Canis lupus familiaris: one gene and its partners. The protein of the gene in region 2 interacts with the protein of the main gene of each other region in a pairwise test. Links are inferred from orthologs where the notes say so. Each region holds a gene or a part of one and is shown on either strand. Other genes may lie near its edges. The genes, in order: CCDC57, PRAM1 and SKAP1.

What was found.
Region 1: the proteins of PRAM1 (region 2) and CCDC57 interact in binary tests that used the Homo sapiens proteins (3 or more experiments, as listed by UniProt). The two-hybrid records come from large-scale screens. The link is inferred for Canis lupus familiaris from reciprocal best matches to the Homo sapiens genes PRAM1 and CCDC57.
Region 3: the proteins of PRAM1 (region 2) and SKAP1 interact in binary tests that used the Homo sapiens proteins (3 or more experiments, as listed by UniProt). The two-hybrid records come from large-scale screens. The link is inferred for Canis lupus familiaris from reciprocal best matches to the Homo sapiens genes PRAM1 and SKAP1.

Annotation. Positions count from the first base shown.
Region 1 is NC_049230.1:948,999-956,020, reverse strand, and holds the start of CCDC57 (coiled-coil domain-containing protein 57), read right to left. Parts: upstream 4,091-7,022; 5' UTR 3,954-4,090; intron 977-3,953; exon of another isoform or gene 145-976; intron 1-144. UniProt on the Homo sapiens protein: Pleiotropic regulator of centriole duplication, mitosis, and ciliogenesis. Critical interface between centrosome and microtubule-mediated cellular processes. Centriole duplication protein required for recruitment of CEP63, CEP152, and PLK4 to the centrosome.
Region 2 is NC_049241.1:53,443,484-53,448,651, forward strand, and holds part of PRAM1 (PML-RARA-regulated adapter molecule 1), read right to left. Parts: intron 4,538-5,168; coding exon 3,325-4,537; intron 3,246-3,324; coding exon 3,179-3,245; intron 3,106-3,178; coding exon 3,029-3,105; intron 502-3,028; coding exon 447-501; intron 328-446; coding exon 219-327; intron 69-218; coding exon 1-68. UniProt on the Homo sapiens protein: May be involved in myeloid differentiation. May be involved in integrin signaling in neutrophils. Binds to PtdIns(4)P.
Region 3 is NC_049230.1:24,648,167-24,655,077, forward strand, and holds the start of SKAP1 (src kinase-associated phosphoprotein 1), read right to left. Parts: upstream 3,892-6,911; 5' UTR 3,729-3,891; coding exon 3,683-3,728; intron 1-3,682. UniProt on the Homo sapiens protein: Positively regulates T-cell receptor signaling by enhancing the MAP kinase pathway. Required for optimal conjugation between T-cells and antigen-presenting cells by promoting the clustering of integrin ITGAL on the surface of T-cells.

The DNA of each region.
Region 1 (7,022 bases), on a different chromosome or scaffold from region 2:
CGCCCGCCCAGCGCTCTGTACCCCTCCCTCATCACACAACAGCTGCGCCCTGCTGCGTTTAAATCTCACCAAAGATGACCCTAAAAGCCCTGAGGCTGACATTAATCAGCTTTAAACGTCATAGGTTCAGAGTCTGGACCCAACCTGTCCGTCAGCCAGCAGATGTCCCCGGCCAGCACCCAGGTTTCAGGAGGCACCACATGAAACTTCTGGGGAAACTACAGAGAGCCCCATAGAGGGGGGAGCCACGCAGTTACCACGGCTTTGCTCACTGCTCACGGTGTTCTAGAGAGCCCGTGGGGCCAGCAGGGCATGGGGCAGGGCCAGGCTGCGTCATGCAGCACTCTGACTTTCTCATTTGTGAAACACTGAGCTTTCTAACCCTTATTTCAGACCTGCGAGGCCTGAAAAGCACCTAGAAATTCCCAGGTGTTAGGAAGATGGAAATAACTGCTCACGAAGGCCATGGCCTCCCAGCCCCGGACAGAGGAGGCCGCAGAGGCCCCATCTGGAAGGCAACCTCCGTCAGTAAGACATACGACTGCGTCCCCGAGCTAAGGCAGCTGGGGACTCACTCGCCGACCCGGCCAGGGGCCTGTGTGGGTGACCCCAACCACGGGGGCAGCCTTATGGGAGGCAGGGGGGCAACGCTCGGGGCTTGGCACTCCTCAGGCAGGGCACGAGAGACCGAGGCTCTGAAGTTGGCACCTCCGGTTAGTGACACACTCAGACACGTCCTCACAAATTAGGACAGAGCCAAAGACTGCCAGAGCCCCAAGTGGGGTCCACGCCAAGTGTTTCTGACAGCTGGCACCACGGTTAAGAGGAAAGGGCTGGAGGGGATCCCCCGGTGGCTCAGCGGTTTAGCACCTGCCTTTGGCCCCGGGGCGCAATCTTGGAGTCCTGGAATCGAGTCCCGTGCCCAGCTCCCTGCCTGGAGCCTGCTTCTCCCTCTGCTTGTGTCTCTGCCTCTCTCTCTCCATCATGAATAAATAAATAAAATTAAAAAAAAAAAAAAAGAGGAAAGGGCTGGAGACAAAGGTGAGCCCACCTCCCACCTCCAAAGGGAGGTGCAGAGCTCTGCAAGCACGGGAGCTCTGCAGGGGGCTGGCCTCGCCCTGGGGGTGCCTCACCCCTCCTGCAGGCCTCCAGGGACAAGATGCTGGAGGGACAGGAAGGACTATGGCAGGATGCTTCGTCCCACTGACAAATCCTACCACTCCCCAGACGACCCGAACATCAGAGTAAAACACGTCAGAGACGAACCCGGGTTACCCAATCCGCAGATAGGACACGAGAGTTCATCACACTCCATGCGCCTGACCAAAAATTTGGAACAATTTGTTTTACAATAAATATCTCGTAAGTACTTAATTGGAAAAGCATTGCATGACCTCATTAAAACATAAGCAGTTACCGAGTGCACAATGTACACAAGGGAATGTTTGCAAAGGGCTAAAAGCCGGTCACCAGACGCTGACGAACAAGCCACTCGGACACACTGGCTGAGCAGAGGTTTCTTTTTACCTCCTTTCCCTCAAGGCTGCGGTTCCAGATGCTCTGGGCTTTGGACTCAGCGGCTAATAAGCCCCCCGTTCCTAACGCACGAGAACCCAAATCTACTTCATTAAGGAAAGCTATCTCGCTGCTCTATAAACACGTGAGCTTAATTACTATAAATTAGTGACCTTAATTTACAAAACGCTTTTGTGGGACTTGAAGGAAAGTCTGGAGGGGGCTCATCTGTTACTGCACTCAGGACGGGACTCAACACTGGCGCCCCCTGGAATCCCAACAAGGGCCGTCCAGCTAACCCTGGTACGCGTACTCTTCCAGCGTAGTGTCTAGGGGATGAAAATCAGGGGCCTGTGACCACAAGCCGTCTTCCTCACACTTCACTGAGTGCCAAACAGTACCCACAACCATGTGTAAAATCTCAAGTAAATCTCAGATAGGGGGATCCCTGGGTGGCGCAGCGGTTTGGCGCCTGCCTTTGGCCCAGGGCGCGATCCTGGAGACCCGGGATCGAATCCCACATCGGGCTCCCGGTGCATGGAGCCTGCTTCTCCTCTGCCTCTCTCTCTCTCTGTGTGACTATCATGAATAAATAAATAAAATCTTAAAAAAAAAAATCTCAGGTCTTAATTCCACCACTGGTACTGGCTGGGGTTAAGGGATACCGCTAAAGTGAGGGATATGCAGTGCTTTTTCATTACAATTTACACCTGCCAAATTCCTTTGCCAAAAATAACAAAAACCAAACAAATAAAAATTGAGTAAATGAGAACAAAAGCAGAAGGGAAGCTGAATCACCTTACAGTTGAGAGCTGCTGACTTTTTATTTACTTATTTAAGTAATCGCTACACCCAACATGGGCCTCGAACTCATGACCCTGGGATCAAGGGCTGCACTCTTCCAACTGAGCCAGCTGGGCGCCCCATGAGCTGCTGACTTTTAGAACATGGTTCACACATTGAAACTTAAAATCAGTAAGGACTCATAACGAAATACAAAGAGGAACAAGTGGGCAACCTGCGTGGCTCAGCGGTTTGGCGCTGCCTTTGGCCCAGGACCTGAACCTGGAGACCTGGGATCCAGTCCCACGTCGGGCTCCCTGCATGGAGCCTGCTTCTCCCTCTGCCTGTCTCTGCCTCTCTCTGTGTGTCTCTCGTGAATAAATAAATAAAATATTAAAATAAAATAAAAAAATTAAAAAAAAACAAACAGGAACAAGTGATTGACATAATGCAACAAAACCTACATAAATGCACTAAAATAATCTTATAAAAAATCTTGACTGTAAATTCCAAGAATAAAAGCAAAACAACTGTATGCAAATATTACACTCTAGCTAGTAGTCTATTTTTCATAGAAATACGGATTGGCAATTCTGAAGTTGCTCCAGAAAGCACAGGACGGGCGGGGAACATCTGGCGGTGCCGAGAAATGCTGGGGGACACGCTGACTTGAAGGGGCTCCTAATGCCCAAACCTGGAGAATTAGCAACAAAATACATTATAGCAATGTATTATACAGGTGTGGAATAAAAACAAAATAAAAACGTGTATACCAACACGAGATGAGGGGGGAAGGGAGGAAGGTAAGGTGCTGGGGGCACCCGGCTTGCTCAGTCGGTAGAGTCCCTGTGTGACTCTGGATCTCTGGGTCCTGAGTTCGAGTCCTATGTTGGGTGTGAAGCCTACTTAAAAGAAACGGGGGTGGGGCGGGAGGTTCTTTCTTACAGAATTCCATTAGTTGGAAAGAATAATGGAAACAGAAAAATCCTTAATTGGTAAAAAAAATATTAATAATTGTTTCAGAAAACACTTGTGATAGAAAGTGTGGTTAGAAACAAGATATATAGGGCGCCCGGGGGCCCAGCGGCTGGGCGTCGCCCTCGGCCCAGGATATGACCCCGGGGACCCGGGATCGAGTCCCGCGTGGGGCTCCCCGCAAGGAGCCTGCTTCTCCCTCGGTCTGGGGGTCTCTCTCTCTCTCTCTCTCGGTTGCTAACGAATAAATAAATAAAATCTTTTTTAAAAAAAGATAAAGAAACAATTTCCGTGGCCTGGAAGTATCATTAACGAAAAATGGCAACTTTAGAATGGGGACACACGGAAAGTACGTGCGTGAGCAGCGGCGGGGCAGGCGGCGCCCTGGGCCCGGGAGCGCGGGGTCCCACCCCAAGTCGCCCCGCCCCCGCCTGACCCCGCCTGACCCCGCTGCCCCCCGCCCCGCCTGACCCCGCCGCGCCGCGGGGGATCTCTCCACGACTGGGCGGGCCGCCGGACCGACCTCCCGGCTTCCGACCCTCCGCGCGGGGTGGGGCAGGCCGCCGCGGGCGCCAGCAGGGTGCTCGCGGGAGGGGGGCCCGCAGCCACGCCCCGCCCCGGGAAGGCGACGACCCCGTCACTGGGCCCGGGAGCGGCCCCGCCCCGCGCCCCAGGCTCACCGCGCACGCCCGTGGGGACCGGCCTCCGTCCCGCCGCGTCGCCATGGTGACCAAGTCCGCCCTCGCGGCTCCGGCGCGCTCGGTGCGGCGCTCGGGTCCCACCGCCCGGAAACGCGAGCTCCGGCGCCGGGTTCCGGCCTCCTCTCACCCGCCCCGCGCAGGCGCCAAGGGGCGGAGGGCCCACTCCCGCCCACCTGACGCCGGGAGAGGGTCCCCGGAACTGGAGGGACGGCGGGGGCTACGGGGGCCGGGGCCGCACGGGGGGCGGGGCCGCACGGGGAGCGGGGCCGTGGGGGCGGGGCTGCACGGGGTAGGGGCTGGGGCCGCACGGGGGGCGGGGCGGGGGCGGGGCCGGACGGGGTAGGGGCAGGGCTGCACGGGGGCGGTTAGGGCTGCACTGGGCGCGGGGCTGCACGGGGTGGGGGCTGGGGCTGCACGGGGAGCGGGGCCGGGGGGGCGGGGCTGCACGGGGTAGGGGCTGGGGCCGCACGGGGGGCAGGGCGGGGGCGGGGCTGCACGGGGTAGGGGCTGGGGCTGCACGGGGAGCGGGGCCGGGGGAGCGGGGCTGCACGGGGTAGGGGCTGGGGCCGCACGGGGGGGCAGGGCGGGGGCGGGGCTGCACGGGGTAGGGGCTGGGGCCGCACGGGGGGCGGGGCGGGGGCGGGGCTGCACGGGGTAGGGACAGGGCTACACGGGGGCGGTTAGGGCTGCACTGGGCGCGGGGCCGTGGGGGGGCGGAGCTGCACAGGGGGCGGGGCTGCACGGGGTGGGGGCTGGGGCCGCACGGGGGGCGGGGCGGGGGCGGGGCTGCACGGGGTAGGGACAGGGCTACACGGGGGCGGTTAGGGCTGCACTGGGCGCGGGGCCGTGGGGGGGCGGAGCTGCACAGGGGGCGGGGCTGCACGGGGTGGGGGCTGGGGCTGCACGGGGGCGGGTCCAGGGGGCGGGGCAACATGGGGGGCTGGGTACGCGGGGGTGGGGCCGGGCTGCACCGGGGAAGGGGAGCGGGGTACCCGGGGCTGCACGGTGGGGGAGGTGTCCATAGGCGGGGCCGGGGCTGCGGGGGACGGGGGGGGAGGGTCGATCGGGGGCGGCAGTGGGGCGGGGTCCGTGCCCCCCCAGCACCGTGCATGGGCCTTGGGGGGGGCGGGTGGCTCCAGCAGCCTCTCGTCCTGCGGAGGTCGCACCGTGTGTTGCGTGTGGTGCGGAGAATCCATCAGTTCGCTCTCCTAACTTGTGCGCTTTTGCCTTTGTGCTCAAACATAAGTGGAAAACAAAGCCAAATCGCCCTTGTAGGCAGCCTGCCTCCCAGAGGCGGGCCAGGCCCTGCTGCTCCTTCCGGGACAGCTCTGGGGAGCCCCTGAGGGCCTCCTCGCTGGCCTGGCAGTAAGCGGGGACAGAACGCATGCCCAGCCCCCACCTGGCAGAGCCTGGTGGGACACTCACCTGTGGCCTGCGTCACCCCTCCTGTGTTTCCTCCACCCCAGGGGCTCGCTGGCTCCCCGGGGCCGGTCCCCAAGCGGGTCCTGCCAGGGCTGGACCCACGCCCTAATCCAGGCTCTGCTCCTGGAGGGAGGTCCAGGAGTTATTAAATATGAAGCAGATCAATAATTCAAGCCTCATGAAAAATGGAAGATCTCACATCCTGCACAGAAACCAAGTGATCGTAGCGGGCTGGCCTGGAGGTGCAGCCCGGGGTCCCCATAGCCTTTAACCTGCATCCCGGAGTGGCCTCCGGACCAGGGCAACCTGCTGTCACAGAGCCAGGCTTCGATCCTGGCCCCCTCCTGTCCGATATCTCTCCAGCACTTGGTTTGCTTCTGCATACGGTGGGAGGACATGCTCCCTTCCCTGGTGCTTGGAGGGTCAGGTCCTGGCTCAGCCCCCGGGAGGGGCCTAGGGGACCCGCCTGTTTCAACGGGAGCAAATCCTAACAGCCAGAGCTCCATTCCTCGCCATCCTCAGCCCCCCAGCCAGCACTGCTGATGGCGCCAATGCTAACCACAGGGACAGCATGGCCTTGCTTCTCGGGGCAAGGCCAGCTCCTACTGCCCTGGGGTGGGACATGTGCCTTCCTCGCCCCACCCACCCCACAACTTGTGACCTGCTCACCAGGATCCCAGGGAAGGCTTCGAGGCTGTCAGGCCCAGAGAGGTGCAGCACTTGCCTCCCCTTGCGTGGCACACAGCCAACAAAATGGCAGGGGCCGTAGTGGGCCCTGCCAAGAGCCTGGGCCTTCGCCACCCTGCCAGGGCCCTCCCCACACATGGCCAGTCCCCACGGCCCCTCTGAGGTCTGCGCTCTTGTGTCCCTGGGGCTCCTTATCCGTGCCCCATGCCCAGTGACCCAGGACATGTCTGTGGGCAGAGGAAGGGACATCCTGGCCACCAGAGTCAGGCGTGCAGAGCCCTTCCATGGCCTCTGCCCCTGGCTGGCCGGGGCCCCTCTCAGCAGTGGCCACCCCTGCCCGCCTCAGGCCCCTCACTGCTCATCCCTCACTCATCTAAGCAGCATAGTGACCTCCAACCTGGAGCCCGCCCTCCCCCCTCCTCCAGGGGCTCCTCAGAGCACCAAGGCCAGCGCCAATGCCCAGAACCCCCACCCAGTGACCCCACCGGCGGCAGCGCCGATGCCCAGCGACCCCCACCCAGTGACCCCAACGAGGCCAGCGCCGACGCTCGGGCCAGACCCCGTGCGCTCCCGGAAGAGCAGATCACAGCGGCCCCTCCCGCGCTCAGAGTGCCACCTGCCCGCCCTGGGCCTCCCGGCAGCGTCCCCGCTGCTGACAACAGGGTGGGTGCCCGTGTCCTGGCACTGCCGTAACAGATCACAAGTGGGTGCTTCAGAAAACAGTTCTGGAGGCCCCAGTCTGAAGGGACGTGGGGCCGGGCTGTGCTTCTCTGGAGGCCCAGAGAGAAGCCCCCCCAGCCCCGGTGTTCACCTGCTCCCCACAGCTGCCTCCGCGGGCACCTGGCCTGTTCCCCATGTCGCCGTCCCCCCATGCTGTTCTGTTCATAAGGACGCCAGTCATACCGGACGAGGGCCCACCTGCTCCCAGGTGACCTCGTC
Region 2 (5,168 bases):
CCCCCACGACGTGTCTTGGCGTTGGGATCGATCATCATCCTTGTTTGAATCACTATCTCCCCCTCAAACTGGGGAGGGATATGTTAGAGCTTTTGTTTTGTGCTGTCCCCCCAGGAACCCCAGCTTCTTTCTGAGGATGGAATATGTGGGGTCTTGGTCAATTGGGGCTGTGCCCAGATCTCCCAGGGCTCTTGTTTAGAGGATTCTGGTGTTCACACCTTGAACTTTTTCCGGAACTCCCTCTCCGCTTTCTCTGCCTTCCGGATCTGCTTCAGGGACTTCAGGTCTGTGGGTGGCAACTGCTGTGGCTGGGGAGCCTTCTCCTTCCTGAGGAATTGGGATACTCCTGAACAAGGTGTGCTTCCCAGGGGCCCCCTTCCTGTCTGCCCAGAGCTCAGTCCCTCCCTCTTCCATGCCCTTGGCGGGCTGATGACCGCCCCCCCTACCTGAGTTCTGGATCTTGTGGTGGCCTGGGGGGTTGCTGGGTAAATGGCACTTCATCTGGGAGCAGTCAGAGCGCTGAGTTAGGGCAGGGACTGTTGGCTCAGCCTCCCTCTTGACACTGGTGACTTGATCTTGAATGAGCCTTTCCTATGTCAGTTTTTAGGACATCCATTCCCTCCCAACCCCCACCCTGCCAACTGTCCGTCTTCCCCGGAGGCCTTTCTTGGGGGTTGTGAGTTCTAGTGCATTGCCTTTGTTTTCTGAACTGCTGCATGGTAGGTGTAGCAGAAACTGCTTACTGCAGGAACTCACTTAACCCTCATAGCGACCTTATTACTTAGGATAATAGGTAATACTGTCATTCCCAGCTCCCTGATGAGGGAAATAAAGGCTCTGAGTAGTAAAGCAGTCCTGCTCCAAGGTCATCTGGCTGGAAATGATAAAGGCAGGATTTATTTGCAGGCTTTTGAGGCCATTTCATGTCTGTCTTTTAGAATAGCTTGGCTTCTGGGGATTGTCCTAGGATTTAGGTAAAAAATAAGGCAAAGGCATTTCCTAGAGCAAATGAAGTGGGTGTCTGAGAAGGGGCTGATGGGGTGGGGTTCATGGACTGGCCTGGCTGCTGCTGGGACTATTGTGAGGGGTCTCCCCCCGTGAGTGCGGACTTCTGGCAACCTGCCAGCATTCCACGTAGGAGCCTGCTGGCCCTGGGGTTTGGCTTACGAGAGCCTCATGAATACCAGTTGAGTGAAGGATCTAGAACCTGAAGCCTGAAGCCTCTGGCTTTTTGCTCCAGACTCCAGCCACATCCTGGTGCTCAGATGATGATGCCATCTCCAGTTTCATCCAGGATATTCCCTCCAACTGCTCCTGCTTCTCCCAGAGGCACCCCAGGACCCCTATAACCCACCACGGGGTAGAGCATGCCCCTGTGCACTGTGGCACAGGACAGACCTGGCACACCTGCAGCCCAAATTTCTGGCAGTGTGACCCTAATCAGGCACATAGGTAAGGGAGGTTCTAAGGGTGACCTATTGAGATCTGAGAAAGAGCTACGTGTGCTGGCCCCAGCCCCTTCCAGGAGAGCTCCCAGCTGTGGAAGGAACCTCTGGGGTCGGGCTGCTACCATTCCCAAGTAGGGCAGAGTGGGAGGTTGGACTAGAAGAGTACAAAGTAGCCTTTGGGACAGCGTATTACCAGTGAGGACCCACATAGTATTTCAAGAAGGGAGAGATTTGAGAAGTGTATTTTGTTGGAGTCTTGCAGAATGACTGGCATGGAATGGGGAGATGATTTTCCACTGGCAGGGACAGTGAGCAGAAGTCGGGATGTTCTTGGTCTGTTTGGGGATTGGGGAAGAGTGGGGGGGGGCATACCTTCAAGGCTGCTGGAAGCTAACTGCCTCTTTCCCCACGTCCCTCTCCAAGACTGGCCCCCCAGACCCCAGCCACAAGAGCCTCAGTAGAGCGGAAGCAGGAGGAGCCTTGTCAGGAAGCTCTACTAAGACAGTTTTGTAAGCAGCCCCTGAGGAAAGCCCAGGAGAAGCAGAAGGGGCTTGGGAAAGAGTAGTACAGGCAGCAGACTTGGTGTTGGGGCTGAGCGGGGCGGGGGTGGGGTGGGGGGGGTGGGGGGAGGCGCGGAGCATCCCAAAGGCACCACCCTTAATAAAAGGTTGCCCTGTAGGAAGCCCTTCCAAAGATAGGGCAGGGAAGTCTTGAGAGCACAGGGCCTGGGCTCCTGTCTGCCGGCTGTGTGAACTGGGGCAAGTTGCTTCTGGGGTTCTCAGGCTTCCACCTCTGTAAAAGGGCATGCTGTTGCCTTGGGGGTGGGGGGTGGCTGTACATGTTCAGTGATGTTCACATACAGGGCTTGCATGAAAGTCACTCCCCCCCCCCCCCCCCCCAAAAAAAAATGGTGAAAGCATTAACCTATAGCAGGGCTGGAGACGGGTCTGCTTTGCCATTATCCTGCTCTCTGGGAGCAGAGACTTGGAAGAAGGGAGAAAGAAAGGTCCTCAGGAACCTGAGCACAGAGTGTCTAGGACTGCAGGCTCAGGGTCTCCGTCTACAGCCCATGCCTCAGTTGAGGCCCAAGTCCTGCCTGGACATCCAGCAAGCGCCTCCAGTGCAACAAGTCTACTATGGAACCTGACACCTTGTCCCCGACTCAGGGATACCTCCTCTCTGCACCCAAGTGTCAAGCTTGACTTGGGCCTCATCCGTGTCATGGGCTCACTTGCTCCCTCTCGCCCCTGCATCACATGCCACCAAATCCTCTTTCTGATTCTTCCACTGCTCTGTAATGCCGCCTGCCACCACCCTGGGCCACACCCCTGCCGTGGCCACAGTACGTTCACTGGTGTTGGCCTCTGGGCTGCCCTACCTCTACTGTTGTGTCAGGAGCTGGCATGGCCTTTCTAAAAGGCCCTTCCTGCCCTCCACTTTCTCCCCTGGCACTGCCAGGGAGACGGACTGTCCCTCAGATTTGCCGCAACAGCATGGAAGAATGTGCCCTTGCAATGAATGGTCCCCGGGTGCCTGGGCAGGATGCTCTGGCTGAGGGCTCAGCCCCACCACCAACAAACCTCTGCCCATGGGACTGGGGCTGGAGTTGTCCGTGGGCTCCACGTCGTCATACAGCTCATAGGCCTCGTCCGGGTCCCTGTAGGAACCTGAGATGAGGGCCTCTTTCAGCCTTAAACCTGCGCCAGGACCCACTAACTCCCCACACTCACTGCAGGATGTCTTGAGTCTGTCGGGCTTGGAGGTGGATCCCAGCAGAAGAACGGGTCCTCCTCAGAGCTGTGGAAGGAGGAGAGCGGGAGGGAGGCAGGCCCTGCCTTTACCTTCCCAGCTTTTTGCGGAGGCTGCTGTGACCTACCTGTGGCTGCGGCTGCGGCTCTTCGGAAGCTCTGGACATCCCTGGGGCCAGGGGGCAGTGGGGGCTTGGCTGGGGGGGGGCCTAGGCTGTTTACTGGGGGCAGAGGCCTCCGCCGGGGTGGGTGGCCAGGCTGGAGGCCCAGCCTCGAGCCTCCACTGTGAGAGCGAGCTCCTGATCTCTGCTCCCTGGCTCCAAAGCCAGGGCTGAATGGGAGCCTGGGGCGGGAGCCCGCCACAGCAGCGGGGAGTGAGCTCTCTGAGACGGAGCCAGGGAGTGGGGGCTTTTTAGGGAGATCACCAAAGAACTCCGTGTGCAGGTGCTTCTTGGGCAGAGCACTGGGCTCGGGCTGTGAGAACTTTCGAGGGGGCTGCTGGCATTCAGGCTGCAGGAACTTCCTGGGGAGGAGGCCAAACTCGGGCTCTGAGGACACCCTGGTGAGGGCCCCCAGCTCAGGCTGCAGGAGCTTCTTGGAGGGTGCTTTGAATTCAGACTGCCGTGGCCGCTTGGGAAACACACTGACTTCAGGCTCTGAGGACCTCCTGGTGAGGTCACCAAAATCAGGGTGCAGGAGCTTCTTGGGGAGATCACTCAGCTGAGGGGCTGGGATCTTTCTGGGAAACGTACTGAAGTCGGGCTCTGAGCAGTGGGGCGGGTGCTCATTGGACTCTAACTTCCAGGGGGGCGTCTGAGGGACCTCATTGAATTCAGGCTGTGGCAGGGATTTCTTAGGGAGGCCACTGACCTCAGACTGCAGGGCCTTTCTAGGGTTCACGCTGAGGTCGGGCTGAGGGGGCTTCTTGGGAAGGGTATTAAAGTCGGGCTGTGAAGGCTCTGGGGTGGTCCCATTGGGCTCCAGCTGCTGGAGCTTCTTAGGGAAGGCACTGGGCTTGGGCTCCAGTGGGGGCCTGCTAGGCTCAGGCCGTGGGGGTTTCTGAGGGGTCTCGAACTGTGGGAACTTTTTGGAGGGCTCACTCAACTCAGGTTTGGAGGGCTTTCTGGGGAGATCGGTGCAAGGGGGCTGTGGGGGCTTCTTGGGTACTGTGTGGAACTCTGGCTGTGGGGGCTTCTTGGGGTGCTCGCTTAGCTCGGGTGGTGGAAACTTCTTTAGGAGTTTGTTGAACTCAGGCTTTGGGGGTTTTTTGGGGAGTTCGCTGGTCTCGAGCTGAGAGGCCTGGAACTTTGCTTGAAGGCTCCGGAAGTCCTGATGGCTCCCCTAAGGGACATAGAGCCAGTCAGGCAGGGTTCTCCTAGCTCCTCGTTGCCAGCCTTTGCCCTTGGCTGAGGACCCTCACATTTGTTTCCAGGCTCCCTGGAGTCCTGACCTCACCACTTAGGCACTGCATATGCCCCAGCCTCACCCCCATTAGGACCCGGGCTCCTGCTGCTCCCCCATAGGCTGCTGCTCCCACAGCCTCCCTCTCAGTGTCCTTGAGATAACCGTGTGCTTTCATGCTCCGTATCCCTAGTGCCTTCTCTTCTGATTTCAAAATACATCTGGAATCCAACCACTTCTCACTGCCTGTACCACTGTCATGCTGGCTGGAGGAACTCAGGCTCCTCCCCCATGTTGTCGTCCCCCCCACCCCCCATCCCCATCTCTGTCCAGGCCCCTCCCACACAGCAGCCAGAGGAAGCCCCTCTGCTCAAAATCTGGCAACGTTCCTTCATTTCCCCATGGTAAAAGCTAAAGACCTCATGAAGGCCCTAGATCACCGAACCGCCTCCTGTACCCAGTCACCTTGGGCTGGTCTCCTCTCCCCCACTCTCTCCCACCCCAGCTCTTCTTTCTCCTGCCCCTAGTCCCAGGCAGTTCTCCCTATGGCCTGCTTCTTGCCTCTTGCGCC
Region 3 (6,911 bases), on a different chromosome or scaffold from region 2:
ATAAGAGAGCTTGACAGAATCTGAGGAAGCTGTTTCCTGAGTTACTCTTAAAGTACTCCTGCTCTTTTAATATTAGCCAAATAGCCAAGAAGATGTTAAAAAACAAAACAAAATAAAACAAAACAAAAAAAAAACACTTCCACACACTCCACTCCCAGCGCTAACAAGGGAAAAACATAATCATAACCTTGGTGAATGGTCCTTTAGCGCTCTAGACCACTATGACCTCTCCAAGCTTCTATTTGTCTTTTGTACCTTTTTCTTTTAAATAACCCTACTAGTTGTTTATCTGATTAACAAAAATAATACATGGTCATTGTCACAGTTCCAACAACATGAAGATGTATGAAACAAAAGTAATAATGTCTGCCTCTCCCATCCTCTCATTTTCCTCCCAAAGAAACAATGTTAACAGCTAGGTGTATAGTCTTACTTCTTCCCAGGCTTATAAAAAATATATATAATATATGGGAGGGAGGAGTTGGTTCACTTTCTTGTTTTCAAACAAAAATGGATTGTATATATTATTAGTCTTAAAAATATGGACACTTTCCAAGCCAATACATACAGACCTATCACATTCTTTTTAATGACTGCAAAATATTCCATAAGATGGATAATTCATTCATACCATTGCCCTGCCTTTCCCAACTCCTGGACATTTAAGATGGATCCTTGTACATATATACTTCATGTCCTTTAAATTCAGTAACATAGATTCCCAGAAGTGGAGTTTCTAGGTCAAATGAAACATTTTCAAATGTTTAAAATTTTATCCTTAAAATTAATTTTAGACCTTCAACATTTCTGTTCCTTTCTTCATTATGCAAAATTTTGGCATAAACCTTTCATAATGCTTTGCATATTTTATTTTTAAAAGCACACATATTATGTCAAAAAACACCCCTGTCATTTCTGTTCATGTAGTTATAAATAAATAAATGCTTAAGTTATGGCCGTGATGGCCAGCGTTAAATCACCATGCGAATGCTTATGCCTTGGTTTATGAAAGTAGTAATTCATTGTGGAAACTCCACCCCCACAACCATGTGGCAGCACTAAAGTGGCAGCTCTCTCACCCTGTGACTTTCTCCACTGAGTGACAATATAGAGATCAGGACCTACATATTTTCTAATTGTCAACAGTTAACCTTAAAAAGTGTGTGTGGTGGGGAGACAAGTACACAGCAACAGACAATAAATTGAAAGTCATTATGGGTTTCTAATATCCACAGATTATTTGTAGTATAATGAATAATTCTGTTGGTCTACACCAGAGACTATATATCATTAAAAAAAAACAAACCTATAACCAATGTGTTATGATTACATGAACCTTTCAAAAACATAGTCCTCAAACATTTTTCAATAGAATTATTGGTTGGAATCCCCCCTCTCCTTCAGATTCAGATTCTAATTGCAAACTTTAAAAAAAAGGCCTTAAAGAAATACATTAACCAACGAAGCTCCTTAAAATTTAATCTCAGACTCCTCTATAGATTCTAAAGACCCAGGCACCAACACAGATTGTTAAGACACAGCAAGTTTGACACAGAAGTATGTGACATGCAATTAATCTCCATTCATACCCTGCTCTACTTGTCAGCAAACAAAGGTTCTGCTTTAGAAGGAGATCTGAAGACTTCAATTAAAAACAGTCAGCTAACAAGAAAATAATCTAAGCTAAAGGAAGGTGGCAGGTACAGAAATGAGTTGTTTACCAAAGTGTCAGTTTTGAACAATAAAGAACTGCACATCAAAAATGTTGAAGGAGTGTATTTCATTGCAAGCCTCTGAAAATAAAAAAGAATTTCCTACTAAAGCTGCACACAAAACGGAAGTATAGTTTAACAAGCTGGTAAAATAGGTTTCCTCTCATCAAATGACAGATACCAATAAAAATAATCACTTTATATTTTTAAACACAAGGGCAGAATTACATTTTTTGCCACAGTTCCTTCTCTCCCAGAAACCATCACACTTTGAGTCTCTCTTTACATTCAACATACAATATTGAACCAATGGCAGAAAGAGAGGCTGGATTGCTTCTTCTCAGACACCCAGATGATGCTGCTTCACCCTACAAATACTTTTCTACTCTGAAAGTTTAGATTTACTCGGGTCATATAAGTAAAGTGGATTTTGGAAACTTCACCTCAAAAGAAATACCTCGTTGACAGCTTTTACATAGAAGCAATCCAGAATGGAAACAGTGCTACAAACAGAGACCAAAAGGACTGCCAAATATTTGATTAGGAGGCATTTATACCAAGATAACAAGGTAATGGAGATATAAAACCAATTACATTGAGAGAAACTGAAAAAAAAAAAAAAAAAAAAAAACTCCTTGCCAAAAGTCTGACCTGCCCAAAGCAGGCCATCTGTTAAATATGTGTCAAAAATGTCACTTGGATGCCAAAAGGCTTAATTCAGAGTCGTTTCCTCCTGGGACGCTTATGCAAGGACAGATTCCAGGCCTCTGTCCTTCCAGGAAGGTCAGTTACAGGAAAGCAAATCACTTTTGCCAGAAAGCAGTGTGAATGGAGCTGGAGATATTGCCCATTAGCAAAAAGTCTCTTTCCAGTGTTAGAAGCATCTGTGGAGTGTTGCTGAATATGGCCTTAACTCTTAAAAGGACTGCTTAGGCACCATAGTTTGAAGGTAAACACACCAGTGTGGGGCATTTCTAGAAGAGTTAGAAACTTAATACTGCATCCACCTGCCCTGGGTAGACAGCAAGACCCGCAGAAGTCTGCAGGCTGGCAAAAGGAGGCTGGGGCCTTCGGCACCGACAAAACTCACACTTAGCCCCAGGCCTTGGCCAACAGCATCCCACGAGCCCCTCGAGCCCCTCACAGCCCCCGAGAGCCTCGAGGACCTGGAGCAAGAAGGTGAGGGGCTTCGGGGCTGGGGAGGGAGGAAAGGCAAAACCCCACAGGCGTCGGGGTACTGTCCCGAGGAGAAAGGGTCTGGCCAAAGACCATGCAAGGTCGCATGGAGGCCCCCCCCCCCTGCCAAGAACCTGGCCAGACGTTGTTCAGAAGCCTGGAAGGTGAAGTGGAGGGTGGGTGGAGATGCCTCGAGGAAGAAATAAAATGTGGGGACGCCGGGGTGGCTCGTCTGCCTTCTGCTGGAGGCATGATCCTGGAGTCCTGGGATCGAGTCCCACATCAGCCTCCCTGCATGGGGCCTGCTTTCCCTCCGCCTGTGTCTCTACCTCTCTCTGTGTGTCTCTCATGAATAAAATCTTTAAAAAGAGGAAAGAAAGGAAAGAAAAGAAAGGAAAGAAGAAAGAAAGAAAGAAAGAAAGAAAGAAAGAAAGAAAGAAAGAAAGAAAAGAAAAGAAAAGAAAAGAAAAAAAAGAAAGAAAAGAAAAGAAAAGAAAAGAAAAGAAAAGAAAAGAAAAGAAAAGAAAAGAAAAGAAAAGAAAAGAAAAGAAAAGAAAAAGAAAAATGTGGAACTGAGGGGGAGTGAATGGGACCCTGAGCGGACAGGATGAAATCTGGGTCTGCAGAGTTGAGGGTTCCAGCAGTCTTGAGGTTCTGGAAGGCTGTGGATGATGGAGCCGAAAAGAGAGGCCGGTCTTGGGAGCCCCTGGGTCTCGGCTCGGGCCTCCAGCTCTGCACCTGCGGGACTTCCCAGGGGGCCGGGAGGGGGGCCTGGGGCCGGGCCAGGGCGTTACCTTCCATGAGCCAACGGATCTCCTCGGGGAGGGCGACGGCCTGCATTTGGCCGGGCTGCGGGGAGGCCGGAGTGTGAGGCGGGAGAGCGGCCGTGAAGGCCTGGAGCCAAAGCCCGCGGGCTGGCAGGCGGCTGTCTCCGGCGGAGGCACCTGTACCTCTGTCGCCGCTGCTGCGGCAGCCCGGCCTGGCCGCAGGGCGGGGCCGCGGGCCCGGGGCGCGCTCAGGAAGTGGCGCGCGCGGCGGGCGGGGGGCGCGCCCCGGGCGGTGTTGGGGGGAACACCTGTGCGCGGGTGCCCGCGCCACTCCCGCGGCGCCCGCAGGTGGAAGCACTGGGGGGCGGGGAGCCGCACAGCCACCCCTTCTCCCCGCACCGGAACAAAAGACTAAACGCGGCCCAAAGGAACTTCATCTCCTGGGACACTTTCTACCCTAAGTACTGGCCGGTGGGCCTCAAGGGACGCGTCCCAAAGCCACGGTGGTGCCCGGAGTGGGGCGCGGAGCCGCAGAACGCGGGGAGGCCGTCCCCGCCGAGCCCCGCGGCAAGCAGTTCCCGATCCGGCTCGCACGTCCACGCCCAGAAAACGGGGCAGAACGTCCACTATCTCGGGCAAACCCCTGTCTCAAAGGAACGGCTGCAGGTCTCAAATAATAAAGCCACCAACACTGGGGAGGAGCGGAGCGGCGCGGCTGCAGCGGATACAGGGAGCCAGTGTCCCTCCCTAAGGCTGTAAGGATGCCAGGAAAGGATGGGGTAACCCCGAAGAAGGCGGGGGGGAGAGAGGACGCCAGCCTTTTGCCTCTAACAGCTGGCAAAGGGAGGAAAGTGAAGAACGGGAGATCACAGAAGTGTTCTCCTCCCCTCCTCCAAAATACAGTATGGGTCCCTATCCTGCTTGCGATCTGAAACTGTAGTATTGCAAGATGTTACCACTGGTGGAAACGAGTAAGGAAGGGGTAGAGAGGATCGCTCTGTATCATTTCTTTTAACTTCTGTGAATCTCAGTGACCTCAAAAACCTTTGTGGAGTTTTTTAAGCTCAATAAACCAAGTGCCATGAAAGCAGAAAGTGCCATGAGCGTAAAAGGAGGGAGACAAATATATTTTTTTAAAAAAGGAGAGAAGTGTGGGTGCATATGTGTTTAATGGTGCATATGACATTCAAGATGGGCCCTGAACACACCAGGCTTGGAAGGGGCAGGAGGGCTTTTCAGGTGGAAAGAACAGAATAAAAAAAGATGGAAAAACCTTTTGCTTGAGGAACAGCGAATAACCCTTTTACTGGATGGTATAGGGAAATCATGGCTGTCAAGAAAACGTGAAGTCTTATTGTAAAGGGACTTGAAAGTCAGAATGAGGATTTTGAACTCAACTGGGGAGACATTGACAAGTTTTGAGCTGTGGCATGTGACCTGTGTAGTTGTGTGATCTTGCACATTTCACATTTTCCTTCTTTATAAAAAATGGAGTTTCTAGTCTCAGATTCTTGCATACAACAAGAATATGTGGGAAGGATTGAAAGCAGTGAGGGAGAGAGAACACAGGGAAGATGGGTGAGTGGTTTTTTACAGCAGCCTCAGGGGAAAATGTTGATGGAACCACGGATTTGGGGATGGAAGCCATAAGGAGAAACTGTCCAGAAGGACAGGGAGTGGCACTGCCTGCCTCCTGGCATAGTTTCCCAAGGTTGGGGGCTTGATCCTTTAAGGGGTGCAGTGGCTTTGTAATGTAGGCTTGTAATGACTATCTTTACATGTCCACATCCTGCAATCTGAAGAGGAATGGTCCCTTGGTTCCAGGATCACATGATCCATCCACAAGTTGTAGCAAATTGGGCTGGGGGTGGAGAGACAGGGGCTGGGGCAGGAAGGGTGTCTCTGGGGACTCTGGCTCCTACTGCTGCTCCTTCTTGCTCTGGAAAAGTTAACAATAGACAAGCTGCCTTCTCTAGACTCGGGAGCAAATACCAGGTCCCTGCTAGGGCATTTTTATCATACTCAACTGCTCCTTCTATAGAATTGTAACTGCTCTCAAAGAATTTTTTGAGTACTTATGACGTGTTAAAAAGCCAGGGAGGATATACCAGAGCTCTCTGTACCTGCATGGTAATTTTTCCGTGAATCTGAAGCTCTTCTAAGAAACAGCAAGGGAAACAAAGTCCCTCCTCTATGTAACCCCAGCACTTTGTCTTGCTTTCCCTCTCAGCAGTGGGAGGAAATTTGACAACCTCCCCCTCTTCTCCAAGGATATCTGTCAAATGCTAATATAGGCCACAAGCTAATGAGTTGTTTGGTAAAGAGCAATGAACTCAGGTAATCTTGTGTCCTCTCAGGCCTCACTGCCTGCAGAGCTTACTTATACCAAAAGAAGCAGCAGTAACTAGAGGCATAGGTATTCTACAACCGTTCTGGGTCTCAGACAGGGGGAGAGAGAGGTGCAGAGTTGGGTAGTATGAGGTGGGTGACTGGCAGATTGCAATACGGCATTGTCATGTTGCATCAAGTTTCCTCATTGCAGACAGAAACCTGCCTCCACACATGAGCGCGGCCCCTCCTTAATCATCTGAGGACCCTGGTTCAGCAGTCAGCCTTACTCCTAATGACATTCTGTTAAATGGACAAATTCCTTTGAAGCCTTGTCCTTCTTTGAAATCCAATTTCGCAAGAAGCCAAATCTGATTGGGGGTAGCCATGGAAACCACACCGAGGAGTCTTTGAGAAGGTGGAGAGAGGCAAGGCAAAACGTGATAGTCAAGAGTCCTTTACTGCTCTGTCGGAAATATCAAAGGGATCTGGAGAGGTTGGCAGCAGGCGAGTCCCTGCCCAGGTCCGATTCTGTGTGGCTGGGTACCATGTGGCTGTCATGGAAGTAAGCAGCCAGCTGTCTCTGCACACAGGCAGGGGGATGGAGCAGAATACACAAATCCCAGTTCTGTCTGCCTCCCTCATCTTCCCCTCCCCCAGCCCCAATTCCAGCAAGATCTTAGCATCCCCTTCTAAGCTGCCTGCCCCTTAAAGGCAAACAACAAAAGAATGACAAGGTCAAAATACAAGGGCCTCCCCAACAGATAAGAGGTCCTTTGGAGCAGAGGCCACGAAATTAATCTGAAATTCCTTGTAATTAGATAAGATAAGGGTATCTAAAGAGATGCAGAACAGCTAGGAATGGAGTCCAGCAGCACAACATGCAGAAAACATACCACCCAGTCCACTGGGGCCCCTCACATACTGT